Arabidopsis thaliana: one gene and its partner. The protein of the gene in region 1 interacts with the protein of each later gene in a pairwise test. Each region holds a gene or a part of one and is shown on either strand. Other genes may lie near its edges. The genes, in order: IAA13 and ARF4.

Region 1 (9,018 bases):
CTTACGAAACAGAGGATCGGATTAAGAAAGAACGAAAAGAGAGGATTTTTAAAAATACTTACTACTTGATTGGTCACTGATTGTTTTAACGTTGAAATATCTGGTCTGACAGATTTACCCTTGGATGTACTCGACAAGAAAAAAGGAAATTAGTATAGTCCGACGTTGTTTCGTTGCGTGGGCCTGAAGAAAGCTTCCTTTAATTTCCTTTTTTGTTTGGGTCTCTACTCTCTACAATCTATATAATACCTGAAACTCTCTACGCTCTATCTCCATAATTCGATAACCAAATTTGATAGAGTTAAACCCTAGTTAGATTAGGAATGGAATCTCACGTTTTGTTCAACTCCTCATCGATGAAGAAGACTCTTTCTTCCAGTGAAAAAGACGCTTATACTTACAACAAAGCTCTTACCTTGAATCTGAAGAAAAATAATGTTGTTAAAGTATGTTCGGGGTTGAAGAAGAGAGAACATCAGAGTTCGCACGCTCATGAAACCGGAGAAGTTAAGCAAATTGATGAACAGAATCATGTTCCAGAAAAAGTATCCATGAAGAGCGTGAGGGATAATAGTACTTGCTACAAGGTTCGCCTAACGCTACAGAAGCCTGATGTTGTTCAAGTATCCTCAAACTTGAACAAGACAGAAGATCAGAGATCTAGGGCGGCTAATCATGAAACCGGCAAGACCAAACAAAATTTGAAGAAGCCTGGTGATTACAAGTCTTTTGCAGCGAGAACTATTCAGGTGAAGAAGAAATCAGCTTTACCAATGAAACTTTCTAAAAACCCTAGATCCGGGGAACATGGGCCACCTGTGAACGCATCTAAAGGTTGTCCTGTCTTGAAGAAGAACGACAAGGATTTGTTGGAACTGTTCGAGATCGCCAAAAAATCTGCTGATTTTGCCAACGCAAAGGGAATCCTCGCGTCTGAAGTAGAAACATCAATGTGCGTAGATACCCTCGCTTTGCTCTTGGAGTTCCCCATCAGCGCAAGAGCTATGGAAACAAGGAAGCTCATGGTTAGGCTAGAGAATCTTACAAAACACAAGAACCGAAAAATATGCAATTCTGTTTCAAAACTTCTTCAATGTTGGAGGCAGAGTATCAGAGATCAACAACTCAGAGAGTCCCGTAAAACTCAAGGCTAAATGTCACTAGGGAATTTAAAAGCTTATGACTTGAAAACGTTGGTTGCTTGCTTATTCTTTTGCTTAAAGTAGAGTATTGTAGTCACTGCTTCAATTACATTACTCAAAAGCTAACAGTGAGAGGAATATGTATGTATTAAGGATTTTCACAATCACTATTATAAGAAGTTTAACCTGTGTGAAACGTTTTGAGTTGTAAATACATTATGAGTTTTGTAATCTATTTGCTTTCTTGCCTTATGTTTCCGTAACCCCATTTGATCTGAGTAGTTATTTGTGGATATATTGGCATAGTTCTAAGATCATTAGAGTAGACTCATCAACAAAAACCCTTAAAAACGATATTAGATAAGCTTCAAATATTTACAGTGTAGTAAAAGATATAAAGAGCATTCTCTTCCATCCATAGTATATAGTGAAATCGCAACCGAAAATTAAAAGACAGCAAAAAAAAAAACTAAAGAAAACCAGTAAAAACCATTATAAGAACCAAGAAAATACACAAACTGGATATAAGATCAATCTAGCTTATGCTTGCTTCAGAAGTATCTCAGACTTGCAAAACCCCAAAATATAAAACCTGTAACACCGTAACGTCGAAAAGAGATCTAAACCGGCTGCTTTCGCTGTCTCTCGTTTGGTTCTTGATTTCGTGCAGCTGCATATATATTAACATGTTTTAGTAGAAATTTTTCATTGCGTCATCTTGAGAAACAAGAACAGGAATCAAGATGAGATTATCTACATACCGAGTCCATTAGCTTCAGAGGTTTTCATCACACGTAGCCTTTTCACCGAGTTGATGAACATTCTAAGATAATTCCAACAAAAAGACCATCAGAAACATTTATTGGAAGTGTAAGAGATAAATAAACAAGGTTTTTAGATCTATTACCTCCATGGAACATCACCAACAAGCATCCAATCTCCTTCCTTATCTTCATAAGTAAGTACAAACTCAGACGATCCATCTAAAAGCCTCAACGGTTTAGTGAACTGACTGGTTAACCCGACAGTACCCGGATTAGTGCGAAAGAACATATCTTCCAATGTTTGCGCCAAATTCTCGTAAGAAGAATGAGCATTCAAATCCACTTTTCTTCCTATAGCAACTCCATCCATGTTCACCTTAATAAATCCAACTTGTACTTTCCCATTCACTTTCTTTGTCACATCTTTAGGTTCATCATCTTTCACTTTCTTCTTACCAGCTTCTTCTTCTTCTCTTGCTGACTTTGTAGCTTGGTTATTAACCAAACTGTTCATCCTGTGTGACCCTATAGGAGGCCATCCAACAACTTGACTGCTACAAACAAAGCAAACATCAAGTCAGGACTTGTAATCTATCCAAATGAATCAAAACCAAGAACAGATTCAACTATTCAAGATTCCTAATTCCAAACCAGAGCATTTCTTCCGACATAACTCAGATCAAGTATACATCCAAACACTAAAGAATCTTTAAGAAACTCCTAAACGAACTATGTTCAGAGAATAGCAATTTCACATCATACAAAAGGAATTAAACATCTTAAAAGATCTTTCTTTGAAACCAAAAAGCTTGAAAAAGACGAACCTTGAACGAGGAGGAGATGAACCAGCATGAGAAGCAGAATCAGCAGCACGTTTAGAACCAACAGAAGGAAAATCCTTAGCCGTCAAAAGCCTTCCACGCTCTCCCCACGCGCCACCACCACCTGATTTACCAATCTTGGCCGCCGTTCCACCGCCAAGACTCAGCCCTAGACCAAGCTCAAGCTCACTCTCACCTTTCCCCATCTCAAGTTCAGTAATCATCAGAGAGACCACAACAACAACAACAAAAACCCACTAAAAGAAAGAGAGCCCTAGAATCCAAAATCAATCCAAAAGAAAGAAAGAGTCTTTTGAAAGTCAAGAAGGCAGAGAGAGCAAAAAAAAACAACCTGGGAAAGGAAGACAAAGAAAGAAAGAGAGAGAGAGAAGGAAACAAGAAAACAAACAAACAGAAAGAGACAGAGAGAGGATTTTAAGGGTTTCTTGAAATCTGAAAGAGAGTTTCAAGAATTGAGGAAGAAGAAAGAGAGAGAGGATTAGGTGGTGGAGAGAGTGATGAGAAGAGTAGGACCCATATGTCTGGTAGTGGCCATACCAACAACAATGCCATTCTTTCTTCTTCTCTTTTACCCTTTTTTTATTCCCTAATTTTATTATTAACAAAGAAATTCTTTTTAACTTTTCTTCCCGACATTATCAAACTTGTCGTGCTCCCGTTTACCTTATTGTTTTCTCCTGTGTTTATAAAAAAATATGATAAACAAAACAAACATATCTTATTAAACTATATTAAATATATAAACTGTTGTTTTTGTGTTATGTGTTTGTATTTGTGGAAAGCTTTGTTTTTGCATCACACTTTCTTTTCTATTTTTGCAAGAATTTGTATTCGTTTTGATGATTGCTATATTAGAGTTTATTTTGTATTCGTTGCGTTTGATCTTATCTGGTTAGCTATGCTTTATATCATGTTCATAGTAACAACTGTTAAATATGTGAAAACGTATAGCTAAGTACCAGTTTTGAAAAAAAGTTGAATTTGGGTTTAGTTTTGGGTCACTATATGCTCATTTATTTTCTTTTCTTTTTTTCGTGGAGGACTAGACTATGATGGGTTCCAAATAAAGTGAGAACAAAATTGGTTTTCATTATAAGGAATTATTAAATAAATAGTGGTGATGAGATTATTCATCATCATGTTTCTTGATGTGAGCTATGATGATCCTTTGAAAACTTTTTCAATCGCAATTGATGTGTGGAAAATTCTCTTTTGATCAAAATCATGACTAAATGAGAACATTGAATTTCATACTCTATTGATGGATTTGCTAGAAATACCAAACTTAGTTTCAAGAAATATGTTGAAATTTCACAGTATTAAGATACAGTAATATTTCACAACCAAAAAACAAGTACAAGTTTGTTCTCTTTATTTATTTAGAAACTCAGGACACCTGAACCTCTTCAGACTTCAAAGCGACTTATTCTCACAGTTCCAAGTACACTAACAGTTAGTCAATATCAAATAGTTGATTCTATGTTTTTCACGTTATCTACGTTTGTTCTAGAATTGCGTGTGATTTTTATACTCGTTTTTTCTTTTTCCCTTCTACTTATTTTGCATTTTTACTCACTTGTTAGTTTTTATTTTTTTCTTAGGCGCTACCTGTGTCGTTCCTTTATAGGACAAAAGGCACGAACATTGCTTTAACTATAAAGTCGATACCCAAGTGGGCTGTGGGGTTGTCTGTAAAGGTGAAATAAGAAAAATAAGTAGATTATACGAACAGTTATTTATTATCTATCATATAGTATTAATGAATGCTGTTTACAAATGTTTATGAATTAGAGAGAATTCGTAGGTTTTATAGTAACTTCGGTATATGATTTTTTAGTTTAAATAAGAAATTTATTAATGAGTAAAGTGAGGACTTATATACATATGCATAAGAGTAGTGATGCAAAAGAAAACGTAAACAGAGCAAAATAACAGCTTATCTCCGGAAAATAAAACTTAGGTCTAAATGCTCAAAAAGTGGTTTAAATTTGTATACTATTTAACACGATAACGAAAATTGTAGATGTGAGTTTTTCTCATTTACTATTCGTGTAAAGGAAAAGTTATACATTCTTTTCTTTTGTAAAGCTTTTTCAACGTCCTGAATTTTTTAATTGATCTAGTTCGTGTATATTTCAATGAATTAAAGTTATGTATGTAACGAATTACAATTGATCAAATATACCGTGAATTGTGTTTGTCTCTTGTGAACATGCAACAAGTTGAAGGTTAATATCATTTGGAATCATAAGGAAAAGACAAAAGCAGATTCATGATACATAACTTGTAATCAAATGGTTGAAGATAAATGATGGAGATGACTTCACGCTTGTAAATATATATTAATATATATATATATTGATAAAGTATAAACGTTCCAAAATTGTAACATATGTGACATTCCAAATGAATTTTCACGCTTGTAGATGTATATAAATAAATATACATATTTGTTTGATTTGATTGATCTTATATTATAAACATCCCAACAGTAACATATAACTATTCTAAGAAAAGATATATAATGAGAGTATTAGTTTGCAAGAGGATTGTATTCTGTAAAGTAAGATTAAGGACTAGTCATGATTTTTAGAAAGTGATAAAAATACTACATGCTAGACTAAAATCAATATGTAGAAAAATTAGTGTTTTTATTAGGACCATAACATAAAGACTTTGAGACTAAACAATATTGTCGATATATTAATATGTTTTACAGTAGATATTAAAAGGAAATTGTCTTTGTATAACAAAGTAAATGATCACTCGAAGACATTTAAGATTATCTTAGTTCTAATATGTGATTTCTCCTTACCTGAAAAAGGTCTTAAATTGTAGAATAAACTATTTCACACAGTCCAACTTTAGATAGCCAATGTACTATTTTGAATTAGTAGCATACTAGCATGGTCCATACCCATTTCATAACGATCTTTAAAGAAAAAGACCCAAAAAAAAGGTTACAACTTTATTAATCTTTAGCAATTAAAGAATTTATTGCTTCCGTTAGTATATATCAACGAGTTTTTTAAAAAAAATCCGAAGACATAATTAAGGAAGTTATACACAAAAATTTAGATATACGACTGTTAAAAATGGAAATTTATTGCATTCTTATATAAATCAACTTATCTCAAAACATTGTCTACATCAGTCAGATAGTATATCAGAATTGTAAGAAAAAACAAAACATATTACTTGCAAAACAGTAGAATGAAAATTCATTTTTATTTTTTTCACTAAAATGATGAAATGACAACAGTTGAATAAAATAAACTGAAAACTGAAGAATCATTTCACTGTTCTAAATTTTACCAGTCAGCAAATATGTGAGGAGAAATACTGTGACAAATTACTGGAAAGTAAATAAAAAATGGTTGTGAAAGGAGGAAAAAGGCTGTCGTTTTAAGGGGACAAAACGACAAGGTGGATCAAACCAAAAAGTACTTAATATTAAAACGACACGTTGTTCAATGGTCTTTGCGGACCACCCGGATGTTTACCCGTTTAGTGCAAGACACAAATCCCCTTTTTCGCGCCTCTTTATTTCCTTTTTCTCTATTTTTAATCTCGCTAAGTTTAATTATTGTGTCAAACTAAGCTATAAGCGACAATTAATTGATTTAAAATTCTGAACCGAATCCATCATAAAGTGATCTTTTATTTCGTCGGTCCACGTGATCACATTTGCCAAAAATTTAAATATAAAATCATATAGCTTGATAGCAAAATATCAAGAGTATATTTTATGCAAATTTTTACATTTTACAAACTATCTGAACTTACCTTATAGTTTCATGTGTATTAGTGTACTGTATATCAATTGTAATAAGAAGAAAATAGCATGCAATATTTCTCAATGACATTTTAAAAGAGAAATGTTTAAAAATATTCACAAATATTTTCTCATTTTCACAAACCAAATATATAGAAAATAAAAGAATATTGGTCAGCCTAAAAATTAAAAATAATCATAAATAACTCAAATCATCAGCAGAGCCCAAGCGGGGCAAACGCCCAGACCCACCTTTCTTTTTTGACCCGTCTTGATCCGACCCGCCTCCACACACGAATGTGCATTCCACGCCGCACAAATTACTAAAACACGAGAAAAGTCCGTTACCTCCTCCTTCAGTGTGACGGCGATTATGCTTCTTCTTCACCGCCGGAGTTTTCTTCCTCGAGCTTTTTCCTCCACCTACATTAGCAACAACCATCGCGCCGCTTCCTACATCGCTGCTTTGATGACTCGATCCCAGATCGTAAAGCGGCGGAAGCTCTGTTCTCCATCTCTCAAGTTTCGATCGGAGACCTTCGATGTTACTATCATCGTCTAAGCTCCATTCACTAAGAATCGAACTCTCTGTTTCGTAAGCTTGTGATCTCTCTTTCGCCATTTTCTGCGCTACTTCTGATGGCGACGGACCTAATTCGGATTCTGTTAAAACCGGTCTTCCTGCTAAATTAGATCTCATCGGAGTACCAAATTGCATAGGCGATTTCATCGGTGTAGCCTTGTAGTTAGATCTAATCGGAGTTGATCCGACGATGTTGGATCGTAACGGAGTCGATCCGAGGATGTTAGATCTTCTCGGAGTTGATCCGACGCCGGTGGATCTCATTGGACTTGATGAAACCATGTTAGATCTGATCGGAGTAGACGCGACGATGTTTGATCTCAACGGCGTTCCGTGTCTTGACAAATATGGTGAAGCGCGGCTGCTTGTACGGTCATAGTCTCTCGGCGGTCTTGGTTTCTCGATCATTGGTGTTGATCTTCTCGGAGTTTTGCGTGAACGATCGTTTGATCGAAAAGGTGATTGATCTATGAAATCAGGTTCGTGTTGTCTCTCACTTCTCGGCCGCAACACATTGTGATTTGGTGATTGATCTATGAAATCAGGCTCGTATGAATCGTATCCCTGACTTGGAATCTTTGGGGATTGATAAGGAAGTGCATACTCTATCGATTTCGTCAGCTCGGAATCTGAAGTCACTGAATCGTGTCCCGTCGTTGTAGGTACAGTTTCCGATTCTGCGCTCATCAACGCGCTCGCTGGCTTCCTATTAGCTACACGACTTCGCTCAACTCTGCTTAGAAGATCGGAAACGACCATTGAACTTGTATCGCTCCTTGTACGACGGAGCATTGGCGGTCTCGAGACTACGGATTGGTATTGTTTAGAAGATGGTGATTGTGGATTCTTTGAGCTTCCTTTGAAGCTATTGAGATGCAAATTCTGCAGATTTGGATCTTCTTCTCCAAGCAAGTCTCTGTAACCTACTGCAGAAGAGTCCATATTGGTGTAAAGTGGCATGCTACGCATTGATCCGTCCAGTATTCCCACACCGATGTTTAATATTCCTTGAGGACGACCTGATGGTCTGCGAACTTGAAGTGCGACGAATCGCATTCCGGGAGGGGGTGTACGACGGTACTCCTCGTTGCTTCGGTATCCAGGTCGGCGATTTGGAGGGATTAAGTTGCTAATGAGGACACGGACTGTGCCAACGTGAACATCACGGAACCAATGTAAAGCGTAGATTTCAACCACGACGGCTGAAGTATCGGCGTAGAGGAAATCCTCGCTAACTCGGAAGACAAACTTGTCGTTCCAAGTTGGGTTTCCACCACCGGTGTAATCTACGCGGGTGGTGAGTTTGCGTTCAGAGTGAACCCAAGCCACCGCGTAGGTCTTCATTTTACGTGAGACAGGAGCTAGATCTTGAGCAGAGATTATGTTGAGCTCTAGCAATTGGAAAGAAGGAAATATCGACATTGTTTGTGTACACAATCAGTGTTTGTTATTCAAATTCTCAGTCACATTTGACGAAATTAGGAGAATTGAAAAAGCTATGGAATTGGAAAATCGAATTCTTGATTAGCCCCCTAAGGAGTGGACGATTCTCCATTGGATAGATCATTAAGATTGTTATTCGTTTGGTGGCAAATCTCCGAATGGTAGGGATAAGGTATTGGCCATTGCTTCCTATCTCAGTTTTCCATGTTTTTATTAACCTTTGAAGCAGAGAGAGGAGAGAGAGAGAGATAAAACGAGTCAATCTTAGGTTCCATATTTGGGCTATTTTGTGAAAAAAATGAGAGAGAAAGAGTAAATTAGGGTTGGTCATGTGATAATCTTTAGTAAGATATTGTAGAAGTTTGCTATATTAGGGAGTTTATAGGATCAAATTGTCAATTCTTAGAGATATCAGATATGAATAATCTTTATGCACAACGATACGATAGACACCAGAGGCTAATAATCT
Region 2 (11,810 bases), on another chromosome or scaffold:
TTATGGATTATATTTGTAGAAAATTATTGTTTCCTTTTTTAAATTATTTGGTATATTAACTATTTAAAAGTTTCATAAATAAGAATTTTAAGATATTTAGTTCAATCACATATTTCTAAAGATCTCATATATATTTATTATTTTATGATATCAGTATAACTATATTTACCATAATATTTATAACTCTAAAATCAATTTCAGAAAATATACCAATTAACTATCAAAAATAATAAGTTAACAAAAATCATTGTACCTCAGATAAAACTTTAATACTGTAATCAATACTGAAAGTTTTTAAGATTAATCAATTCTATCTAGTTCAGTATTATGATAAGATTCTTTTAAAGATCACTATTTTATGCATACTTTAATAAACATGCCCGTATTATATTATCATCGGTAAAATAATTTTAATTGGAGATATTATCTGAAACAACTACCATTTCACTATTTTTGGATGACATTTACATTCTACATAGATAAGTTGAATATTTCATATTAATTACTATATAATTGATATTTTGTGTAATTTAAGAGAATCTGGCTTCAAATTATCAAAAAATAATAAAGTCATTCAAATAATTTTTATCAATCCATCAAATGAGATAGGGGAGCTATAAATATTATTGGAAATAAGATATCACCATTTTATCATAAATATATGTTATTATCAGTAACAAATTTATCGCCAATAACAATAGAGGAATGTATTCCATTATTATTTTAAAAACAGAGTTAGTAAGTAATGTAACGGCATATATCTATTGTCAATTTATCAGAAATAATAATGAATTTGGAATGGTCTTCATATTCTATATAACGGTCCAAACAAAATAATTCTATCTTAAAGCTCTCAAAATTATAGTGTTATCTCATGGTATCCGTTTTTGACGATTTTCATTTTTTCTGTATTTATCACATAAATAACTAAGTTTTCTATATTCATAAAGGAACATTATTTAGTGCAAAATTCATAAACTCATTTCATCCGATAAACAATATATCGAATGTTTTTCCTTGAATCTAATCTTTTATAATATACTCTCTTAAAATAAATATATAAATAAACTATTTTTAGATGATAATTACATCATATAAAGGTTAGTGTGTATATATATATAAAGAGAGAAGGATATATGTGTATGGAACACAAAGAAATAGTTCATAGTCATGCCGGGCTTAATCATATATATATCTCAAACCTATCACAATTGTGGCCGAGTTGCTAGAATCACATAACAATTTTATCATAAATATTTTTCATTAGTGATAACAAATCAATCGCTAATAACGTAAGAAAAATATGTTCTATCTAAAAAGTAGCAAAGAATATGATTGCATAAATAATGTAACGGAGTATATTTGTTACAACAATTGCTAAAAAAATCATACAATCATTTTATCATAAATAGTTTTCATTATCGATAATAGATCAATCACCAATAACGAGAGAATACATAAGAAGACCCTTTAACAAAAAAAAACGAGAGAATACATGTTTTACTTTAGAAAATAGCGACAAATAATTTCAGATAACAATATAACGATTTTTTAATATATTAAAATATGAGATTAAGTTTAGAATATTAAACAATTAACGAAAATGATGTATCAGTAAATCAAAAACATATTGACCATATTACGCTTGTTACTTGTTAGTAATTTTTTTTACGCCGCCATTTTTGTTGCTATATTTAAAAAAAATATTCCAATAATATTACTATTAGATATGAAAAGATCACTACTAATTAAAGGTGGATCTTTCTGGCAGATTTGGATACATTGTACAAATGAAATGAGAAGATAATAGTCAAATAAATTTGTATTGCATACCATATATTGATTGAATATTAAGATTATGAAATGTTACAAAAATAGTAAAATTCAAATTCAAATAAAAATATAATAAATCAAAGTTGAAATTTACTCATAGACAACTCAAATATTAATTATTTGGTTTGTAATATTCTGCTATAAATACATGAGCATTTTCATTCTACAAACACCAATCCTATATTTTAGCTTCTCAAATATCACTAAAAATGGTGAAAAAAAGCAAAGGTCGTCAAAAAATAGAGATGGTCAAAATGAAAAATGAAAGTAACCTTCAAGTTACTTTTTCAAAAAGAAGATCTGGACTTTTCAAAAAGGCTAGTGAGCTTTGCACACTTTGTGGTGCAGAAGTGGCCATAGTTGTGTTCTCACCTGGTCGAAAAGTCTTTTCTTTTGGTCATCCAAATGTTGATTCTGTAATTGATCGATTCATAAACAATAACCCTCTACCTCCTCACCAACACAACAACATGCAACTTAGAGAAACTCGTCGAAATTCGATTGTTCAGGATCTGAATAATCATCTTACTCAGGTAATCTTACTCTTATTTTTAAGTATGATTAAAACAAAATAGTGTTTTCTATGAATCATAAAACCCAAATTTCTATGGTTAAATTCTTTTTTTATTTAATATATATAAGTAAAAGTTTTCGCAGGTGAATAAATAATATATAAAAAACATTAGACAGTCTTTTTCTCCATAACTAGAATAGATTTATATCCTAATAGTATGTTAGATAAAAATGCCGATGAAATGTTATAGAATCATATGGTATGAAAATTAATAATATTATTGGTGTTTTTATTTGTATATATATTTGCAGGTGTTGAGTCAATTAGAAACAGAGAAAAAGAAGTACGACGAGTTAAAGAAAATAAGAGAAAAGACAAAAGCCCTTGGGAATTGGTGGGAAGATCCCGTTGAGGAACTTGCGTTATCTCAACTCGAGGGGTTCAAAGGTAATCTTGAAAATTTGAAGAAAGTAGTTACAGTCGAAGCTTCCAGATTTTTTCAGGCAAATGTTCCAAACTTCTATGTGGGAAGTTCTAGTAATAATGCTGCTTTTGGGATTGATGATGGTAGTCATATCAACCCTGATATGGATCTCTTTAGCCAAAGAAGAATGATGGACATAAATGCCTTCAACTACAACCAGAACCAAATTCACCCTAATCATGCATTACCACCCTTTGGAAACAATGCTTATGGTATTAATGAAGGGTTTGTTCCAGAATACAATGTGAACTTCAGACCAGAGTATAACCCAAACCAAAACCAAATCCAAAACCAAAATCAAGTTCAAATCCAAATCCAAAACCAGAGTTTTAAGAGAGAAAACATCTCTGAATATGAACATCATCATGGTTATCCTCCCCAGTCTAGATCTGATTACTATTAACCCTTTGTTGTGTGATCCAACTTAAGTCTCTAGACAAAAAGTTGTGTGTTTAGGTTATCTTTATTTCTTCTTATTTATGTTTCTACATGTGTTGTTGTTGTTTTTCTTGTTCTTGTTTAAGTATTATGTTGTATTGTGTTGTTTCATTTCAAAATTATGTTATTGCTATATATAAATTATATGTGTCGGAAACAAATGCATTACGCCTCTGAAAATACTAGTCTGCCATGGTTACGTTTACGCATTTTGGGCAATTGCAGAATTTTAAACACAGAAAGGTAATAATCATAATCAATCATGTACTATTTTAAAATAAATTTGCAAAAAAGCATAATGAAAATTTCTGTGTGCACCATTTTTCAACTAAAATAGTACATACATTATCCCACATATTTTGGTACATTGTAAAAAATGAAATGACAGCATTACAATGGCTTTCCCTCTAATTTCATTCCTTATAATGATGAAATACAGATATTGTGAAATATTCCTAAAATGATAAAAATCTAATTCTAATATAGAAAATATAATAAAATTAATGTTAAATTTAAGGAAAATATAATAAAATTAAGGTTAACTTTTAGTTGAAAAAAAGGCTAAATCTATGTCACATCATTCTATTTAATTAATCCGTGCAGTATACTCTAATATTTATTTTCCTTAAAAAAGATTAAATCATCATCAAATATCTAGTATGTATTAGATATCAATCTAAAAATAAATAAAAAAATTGTAAGAACAATACAAGAGTATCCACATATGTAAGAACTTAAGAAATGAAATTTTCAAAATCAAGCAAAATACTTCAAAACTAATATATATATTGTAATTTTGAAAACCTTAAAATCCAATGGCATGCTTTACACATCCCATAAACTCACATATCTCTCGAGTAAAACGGTACACATGAGACATCCATGGAGACCAGAAGAAACACAAACAAACACATAAATGGATTCAAAGACAAAGATAAAGTTGAAGTTCTTTTGTGAGCAAAACACACTTTAAAACATAGGAAATAAGCTTCTTTATGGGTATCAAACCCTAGTGATTGTAGGAGAAGAATCAGGCTGGCTCACAGAAGATGACTTTGATGCTTCCATCATGAGAGCAGCTTGCTCTAAACAACTCTTGTTATCGTCATTCGCATTCTCCACTTCCTCTTTCGTGTATAAGTGTATCTTCCACACCACATTGCAGAAATCACTATCCATAGCAGAAAGCCAATTTCAAGTTAGGAGAAAAGAAGTTGTGATTGACCTTTAGAAGGTATGTATAAAGAACTTACTGCCATGGATCATCGCCAACGACCATCATATCGTTCTCACTATCAGTATATAAGATCCTCCATCCTTTTTCAGGATCCCTGAGAAGCCCTTCCATGTTGAACAGCCGTTCAAGCTCCATAAGGAGATCATCATACCCGTTAAGTCGCGACAAATCAATAGCTCTCCCCACTTGGCTTCCTTGCTTGTGAACCTTTTGATAACAATTCAACACAAGAACTGATTAGAAGAGACATCTAAAACTGCAACTCAAAGTAGCCAAAGAGATGATAAAGAAAACGTTTTACCTTTGTACAGATTCTTTTGCTCGAGCTTTGCGGCTTAGATGCAGGTGTCTCCACTGGTAAGGAGAATCCGAAAAGTTTACATCCTGATGAAGCATTCATATTCAACTCACTGCCTTTCTGTTTTCCCATCATATCAATCTTGAATGGCAAATCAGCTGTAACATTATTTGGTAGGCCACCTTCATTTTGTGCATCAAACTTTCTAGTCTCTTCACCAAAGTTTATTGCACGTGAAGGGGGACCCGAGGATTGGTTTCCCGCATTGTATGGATTCTGATACGGAACATGAGTGCTCCTAATCCCATGCAAAGCTAGCGGATAGTAACTTGACTTGTTGGCTTGGTAAGCAAAGGGATTAGGAGCAGCAGCTGGACTGAAACCAGCAAATTGCGGGAATGATTTAAGCGAGCAAATTTCTTGACCTTGCAAGACCCTTGGAAACCTATCCAGGTCCATAACACCTGAACAAGCTGGGTTCACGCCAGTAGCATCTACAAACTCACCAAATCGATCCTTGACTCTACTCGACACAAGAACTGGATTTGCATGAGACTGCATCGCAAAATCCAGTATCCGGCGGTTCATAACATCAAACCCCTGTGAGGGTGATGCAGAACCTATATTTTCTTGACCTTGCAAGACCTTAGAGGGTCTAACCGACTCCTCAAAGTCCAAAAAACCACCCCTTTCTGCTGCAACCAAGAACAGTTATCAATAATATACTGATGAAAATTGAGAACTGTTTGCAAAAGCATATACTCCAAAGAGAAGAGAGGTCTATATAATTTACTTGTTATGGGGTTTCCGGGTGGGGTAGTATCCAGTAAACCTGCCCATGGCCTTTTAGGCCTTGGAGATGACTGAATGCTCAAGTGTGGGAGAGAAACCGAGGGATCAATCTCCCAAGGTGAAACTCTTTCTTGATGATCACTCACAAAAGACTCATCCCATCGCACCTGCCAAACAAATGTGAAAGATTTAGATATCAATCTTCGAAAATGAAAAGTCTTCTACACGTTAATAGACAGATACTCCAAAAAGATGAGAGGACGCACCAACAAGCACCTCCATTTAGAGTTTGGCCACCTATACGGGTCCAAGTCACAGACTCCAGTCACTACACCAGCGCATCTGCAAGAAAGATCGAATATAAATTCTCGTCCAACAATATTAGCTACACAACACAGAGAAAGAAGCAAGAAAGAAACAATACCTTCTCTCAGGAGAATCGTCCATTTCAAATCGCATTCTAAATCTTGTGCCTATGCAAACAGGACTCCTGATGCTTGTGATATACTTCTCATAAGGAATCACAAACTCTGCATGCGTCGCTCTGTATATAAATCCACAAATCAACATTATAGTTCTTTATTTCTTACTGAACCTAGTTAAGAATCATTACGAATGGCAGCTTTTCATTTTTATCTCACCGTGGACTGTAGAACACATGAAACATGCTTTTTGTAGATACAGCATTAGCCACAAGAGACAGAATGTTTGAACATGAATTCTTCTCAATGATTGAGTCAGGAAGTCCATTTCTTGGCCGTGCTGCTCTTCTGATTCCTAATCTCAGCTCTCCTCCTTCGTCTCTATAAACGCCGATATTAGTAATGAATGTAAACATTATTGGATCAAGGGCTTCAAACCACCAAAGCAGAGGGAAACACCATGAATCTACATCACCATTTGATAAACTGAAATCTTACGATTACCTCAGAAAGAGAACCGCATCACCAGAGACGAGATTCTTTTGACTGACAAAGATACTCCAACCAGTGGTGAGTAGATGCCTCCTTGGTTGACCTATATTAAAAAGAGACAGAACTAAACATTTTGGTTTCACTGACGAAGAAAAAAGAAACGAATAATAACAAACTCAAAACCACCTCTATAGATATGGCGAAACTTCCACTCTACTCCATGGAGGTCCTTTGCAATGAGCTCTTGAGATGGCCTCTGTTGTTTGTAGTCCTAACACCAGTGGAAAATTCACAAATAAGGCTTATAACAAGAAGATAAAACCTCTCCTTAAAAAAAAAAATAAGGAAATGAGATATAGAGAATTATACAAGAGGAGCAAAACAATCTTCAGCGGCTCTTCTAGGTACAGAGAAGCCTCCATGTGTGCTTGTGTCAGACGCTGTTAAGGTTTTACAGAACATATGAGGTGTCCGCTTGACGGATGAGCTTCCGTTCCTCTCTTCCTCCCCTCCTAACTCCTTGACCTCTTTCCCCTCCCCATTTAGCATCGAAAACTATAAAAACCAAGAAGTTACTTCAGCATCTTAACATCACAGAGATTATAAATGAAACTCAACAAGACCAACGGTTTCAGTGATTCCTCTGATCCTGTTAAACCAATGATGAGTTTGAGTCACTTAGAGAACAAACAAGATTATTCACAATCTCTTTAAACCGTAGCATCTAAAATCACACCTAGAATCTGGAATTACACTAGTGATATCAAAAATCAATTGAATTGTCAAAAAAGCAACAAGTTTGAGTAAAAGAGAGTACCTCTTGAAGTGGAAGCAGAGTGACTTGAGTGTAGACCTCATCGGTGTCCTTATTAGCCTTTTGTTTCCCCAAAAGAAGGAACCAAGTTTGCAAACAATTACCACAATTAGAGAAAGAAAACAGAACTTGTTCAAGAATAGTAAAATAGAACACAAAAGGAATGTTCTTTATTTGGGTAGAGTGATACAGACAGACTTACAAGCAACTGGACATTAACCACCCTGCAGACGATTTGGGGATTAAGGTCAAATTTGGGGATTTCAAGAGGAGACGAATATGAAACCATAGCATCTTGCTCCAAATGACCTTGAGGGAAATAGACAACTACATTGCCTTTCTTGGGAAGACAAGTGAGAGGACCAGCACAAGCATGCCAAAGCTCAGAGTAAATGGAAGATGCAGAGCCTGTAGAAGATGATGACGATGATGATCCGGAAGAGCATGAAGAAGAAGAAGATGGTGAAATTCCAAGCCTACCCTTGTCAATTCTTGTTCCTCCTCCTACTCCTACTCCTACATCATCATTCTCCTCCTCTTCCACCTCCGCAATCTCAGTATTCAAGTCAAATTCCATTGAAAAAGCTTCTCTTTTAAGAGCAAAAGGAGACAAGAAGAAAACAAAAAGTTTCTATTTTTAATCAGATTACAACAAAACAAGTAAAACCCATCAAAGGAAAGTTTGCAAAATTCGAGCTTTGAAGTGACAGAATTCGGAATTCCTCTCCTTTTTCAGCTAAATTTCACAAAGAAGAGGCAAACTTAGCTATTGACGGGAAAGATGAGTCATAAGTGTGGAATAACGAATCAGAGACAGAGAGAGAAGAAGAGAGAGGAAGGAGGAATCAAATGAGAACAAGGGTTTCAGAGAAGGATTCTTCTTCCTCCATTTGCAGGTACTGAGAAGAGGGAGCACAAGGAACAGACATAGACTAAAATTTGCAGATTGGAAAAAAATATACTTTTTAAAGAGCAAAAAAAAAACAATTTAGTGGAAAGAGAGAGAGAGAGAGAAAGAGAGGGAGAGATAAGCGGGGGAGACAAAGCCAAGACAGAACAGAACCCACACCTACACTCTCCCTTTCTCCTTCTTCTTCTTCTTCCTCTTCTTCTCTCTTTTTTGTTTTTGTTTCCCAATAAAGACTTATTTATTCACATGAAATTTTATATATAAAAACTATATTTGTGTCAATATACACACGTTTACACAAAATAAAAGTTTTCACTTTTTTGCTAATTATTACCGTTTTTGATTTTCGTCCTTTTTGTTGAAAGAAGAAATGTTAAAAGTTTAATTAGGTGCTAATAAGACTAATTCAATCCATTGTCTAGATTGTTTTCTTCAAAATCAACTGTTTTTTAAATACGTCAAACCATCGATGAATCAATCGTTTAATTATTCATACTAGACTATTCACTCAAAATGAACCATCAAAGTTTATATGCATCTATTGGATTTATGGTATTACGAAATTGACGTAACCCTTTGTTTTTCTCATTCACACCATAATTTTCTTTAACTTGTGTGAGTTGTGAGGAATAAAAACCGCAAATTGATTAGCTTTTTCTTTGCATACTCTTACAAAGGAAACAGTATCTCTTTGGAATCTTTCTTTGTTCTTTCTTTTTTTATGTTATGAATTTTTATTTGTTTTCGATTTATTAGAAAAAATGCTTTTTCATTGCGTTGTTAAGAGCCAACCAACCGGCTAAAGACAGAAGAGTAGGCTCCTTTCGATTTTGTAACAAAAGCACTTTTTCTCTCTTTTTCTGAGACAAACAATATGAAAATCAGCATTTTGTTATTGATTAACTAAAGTACTGTCTGTGTTTAAAAACCTAATCAACTAAAAAAAACTTTCAGCGGTCTGTAATATAAAATTTATACTTCAATAACCACACCGACTCTTTCAGTAAAATAAAACTACTCAAATACTTACTACTTATTGGATAAATATCTTCAAATGGGTTTAGTAAAAATAAATAAAATATATTTGATGGTCCAAATGATTGCTTCATAATTTGAAAACATTTATATATACATTTTTGCAGTCATTTTAGCAAATAAATCTTAGAGTTGAACTTATTTACAACCCAATGCCATTAGCATTAAATCTTTTTTTCAAAATAATTAATTTTACTTTAAATTTTTAATTTAAATTGTCAATCACATTATCAATCAAATTTAATCCAAACAAACTTCACATCAATCCCTTAAAATTAGCATAAACGTATTTTATTAACAAAATTTTTTGTTTAAATAAATATTGTTCTTACTAAATATTTTTTGTTTAAATAAACAAATCATGTATTTGAACTTATTTACAATGTCATGCTACTGACATTAATTATTTAGGCATGAAAATATTTATTTAAAGATTTAAATCTTTTAAATTTTGCTTTTAGAGTTATTATATCATTTACCTAAAAGGCAAAAAATATTAATTTTTTAAATATTATTATTTGTATATTTAAACTTCATAAAACATTATTAATATTTGAATTTATAAAAAGTTTAATCTATCAAAAATAATTAACATCATTATATAATATATAAAGTTTAAAAAAATCTCAAAAAAAATTTCGTCATATTTTGTAATTCGAAATTTTAAGAATGAACATATATTAACCAATTGGCGAAAAATGTGTGGGTACAACGTCCCGCAACGACTAAAATATTTTGACAATGATTCATAAACATATTATAAATAAGATCAACATTAATAAAATAAATAGTTTTTTTTTGTGGACGGGTTTGGCAGGACGGGTTTGGCAGGACGTTACTTAGTAACAATGGTAAACTATAAAATAATTTACAAATTTTTATATATATTAATTTTTAAAAATGAACTGTGTCCGCGGTGTACCGCGGGTTAAAATCTAGTAACATGTATTTTTGCTCATATAATATTAGTTTGCTACTAATTCATATAACCTGATCAAAGTATCATATTATGTTTTGTATATTCCTTTCACAATTTCGCAACTTACTTAATTATCTACTTTTAAAAACATTTGATTATGAGTAATAACCTTTCGTAACTTCATTGGAGAAGAAAAAAAAGAATAAGAAAAGAAGAAAACAAAAAGGATGATGGGATGGGAGAAGGAGAAAGAATGAGTCTCTTCTTCAGAAGTTGTGAGTTAGTGACTGAGTCCCAACAACTAACAAAGACCCCCTTGATATTTGCTGCCTCTTTGGCCCCCACCTTCTTTATTGTTTTTCTTACATTTTTCATGCAACATACTCCTTCTAAAACTAGCTTAATATTCTCACTTTTTTTCTTTAGTACTTCTGATTAGAAATATATATCTTGTTTATTCTGATGTTGCACCATAATTCGAAACGTGTAATCTCTTATTCTTAATGATATGATTACCATATTCTTCTGTCTGCTGATCATAACTTTTAGTCAAAGATTATCTTTTTTTAATTAGTACTAAAAAGAAAGAGTGGATCGTATCTCATTTTCATGTTTCTTAATTTCCTAACTAAAATAATATTTTACTAAGAAAGTCGATTTTGTACAATTTTAGAAAAGACATCTAATTTGATTATATTGTGAGAAGTCCCACGGTTGAATTTTATGATGTGAGTTAGTTTTGGACCAAAAACTCAATATATATAATTATATACACGTAAATTTGTCAAAATACAACACATAAAGCAATATAGCTCTGAAAATAATAGAATTATAGAAATAAAGATTCCACTTAAATTTGTTTGTGACTTTCTCCTGCTGAAAGTAATTAAGCATCCATTTGAAGAAATGAGCCACTTGGATGCTTTGACTCTCCACTCAAAGTAAGCTTGTGTTTATAAAAAAAAACCTAAGCATATATTCATCCTCTATTTGTATTTATCTCGTCTTTTACATGCCTCCATTTTTTTTTCTTATCCTCCTTTTTTTTTTTTGGTAAAACTCTTATCCTCCCTTTCTTACGGTACAAGCCATCACGCTCGGTTCTGATTTTCTTCTTCTCTCTGTTTCAGTTTCGTTTCATGCGGCATACATGTAAATTACTAAATTGTAGAGATCATAACGTTCAATTTATCGAGTTTTATTTCTGAAAATATTATATTTTCTTTTTTGTACCGAGGTTTCAAAATATTCATGTTTTTTTATGTGTGGAAAGAATAGCACATATCCATAGCCATATTTGTTGCCTGATTTCTTTTGACCAAGTTGATTGAATTAGCCTATGGATATTTGTTGTTCTTTTCAAATATATGGCAATTTTTCTTTGTACTATATTTTTAATATGTATTTTTTGAGTTTACGAGATTCCTGCATGTACATACTATATAAATTTGGCGTAATTTGTAATAAGAATCAATATATAATGAAATCATACTGTTTTTTATAATATTGATATTTAAGTAGAGATGGTTTTATTAAAAATAGAAGAAAAAAGTTTATTGTTTGGCAGAGCAAAAAAAAAAAAGGAAAAAGACAGAGGTGGATAATTAGGAGACGTCGTGTCA

The links.
Region 2: the proteins of IAA13 (region 1) and ARF4 interact in a two-hybrid assay, tested with the Arabidopsis thaliana proteins (one large-scale study listed by BioGRID).

Annotation. Positions count from the first base shown.
Region 1 is NC_003071.7:14,112,807-14,121,824, forward strand, and holds IAA13 (auxin-induced protein 13), read right to left. Parts: upstream 3,164-9,018; 5' UTR 2,952-3,163; coding exon 2,731-2,951; intron 2,461-2,730; coding exon 2,050-2,460; intron 1,966-2,049; coding exon 1,904-1,965; intron 1,813-1,903; coding exon 1,763-1,812; 3' UTR 1,475-1,762; downstream 1-1,474. Other genes in the region: AT2G33300 (Transcription elongation factor (TFIIS) family protein), read left to right, coding at 324-1,154; AT2G33320 (Calcium-dependent lipid-binding (CaLB domain) family protein), read right to left, coding at 6,720-8,528. UniProt on the Arabidopsis thaliana protein: Aux/IAA proteins are short-lived transcriptional factors that function as repressors of early auxin response genes at low auxin concentrations.
Region 2 is NC_003076.8:24,304,287-24,316,096, forward strand, and holds ARF4 (auxin response factor 4), read right to left. Parts: upstream 8,499-11,810; 5' UTR 7,902-8,498; coding exon 7,527-7,901; intron 7,385-7,526; coding exon 7,328-7,384; intron 7,066-7,327; coding exon 6,880-7,065; intron 6,782-6,879; coding exon 6,697-6,781; intron 6,614-6,696; coding exon 6,523-6,613; intron 6,400-6,522; coding exon 6,238-6,399; intron 6,141-6,237; coding exon 6,021-6,140; intron 5,939-6,020; coding exon 5,863-5,938; intron 5,764-5,862; coding exon 5,598-5,763; intron 5,497-5,597; coding exon 4,808-5,496; intron 4,714-4,807; coding exon 4,523-4,713; intron 4,441-4,522; coding exon 4,272-4,440; 3' UTR 3,969-4,271; downstream 1-3,968. Other genes in the region: AGL62 (AGAMOUS-like 62), read left to right, coding at 2,043-2,366, 2,659-3,234. UniProt on the Arabidopsis thaliana protein: Auxin response factors (ARFs) are transcriptional factors that bind specifically to the DNA sequence 5'-TGTCTC-3' found in the auxin-responsive promoter elements (AuxREs). Could act as transcriptional activator or repressor.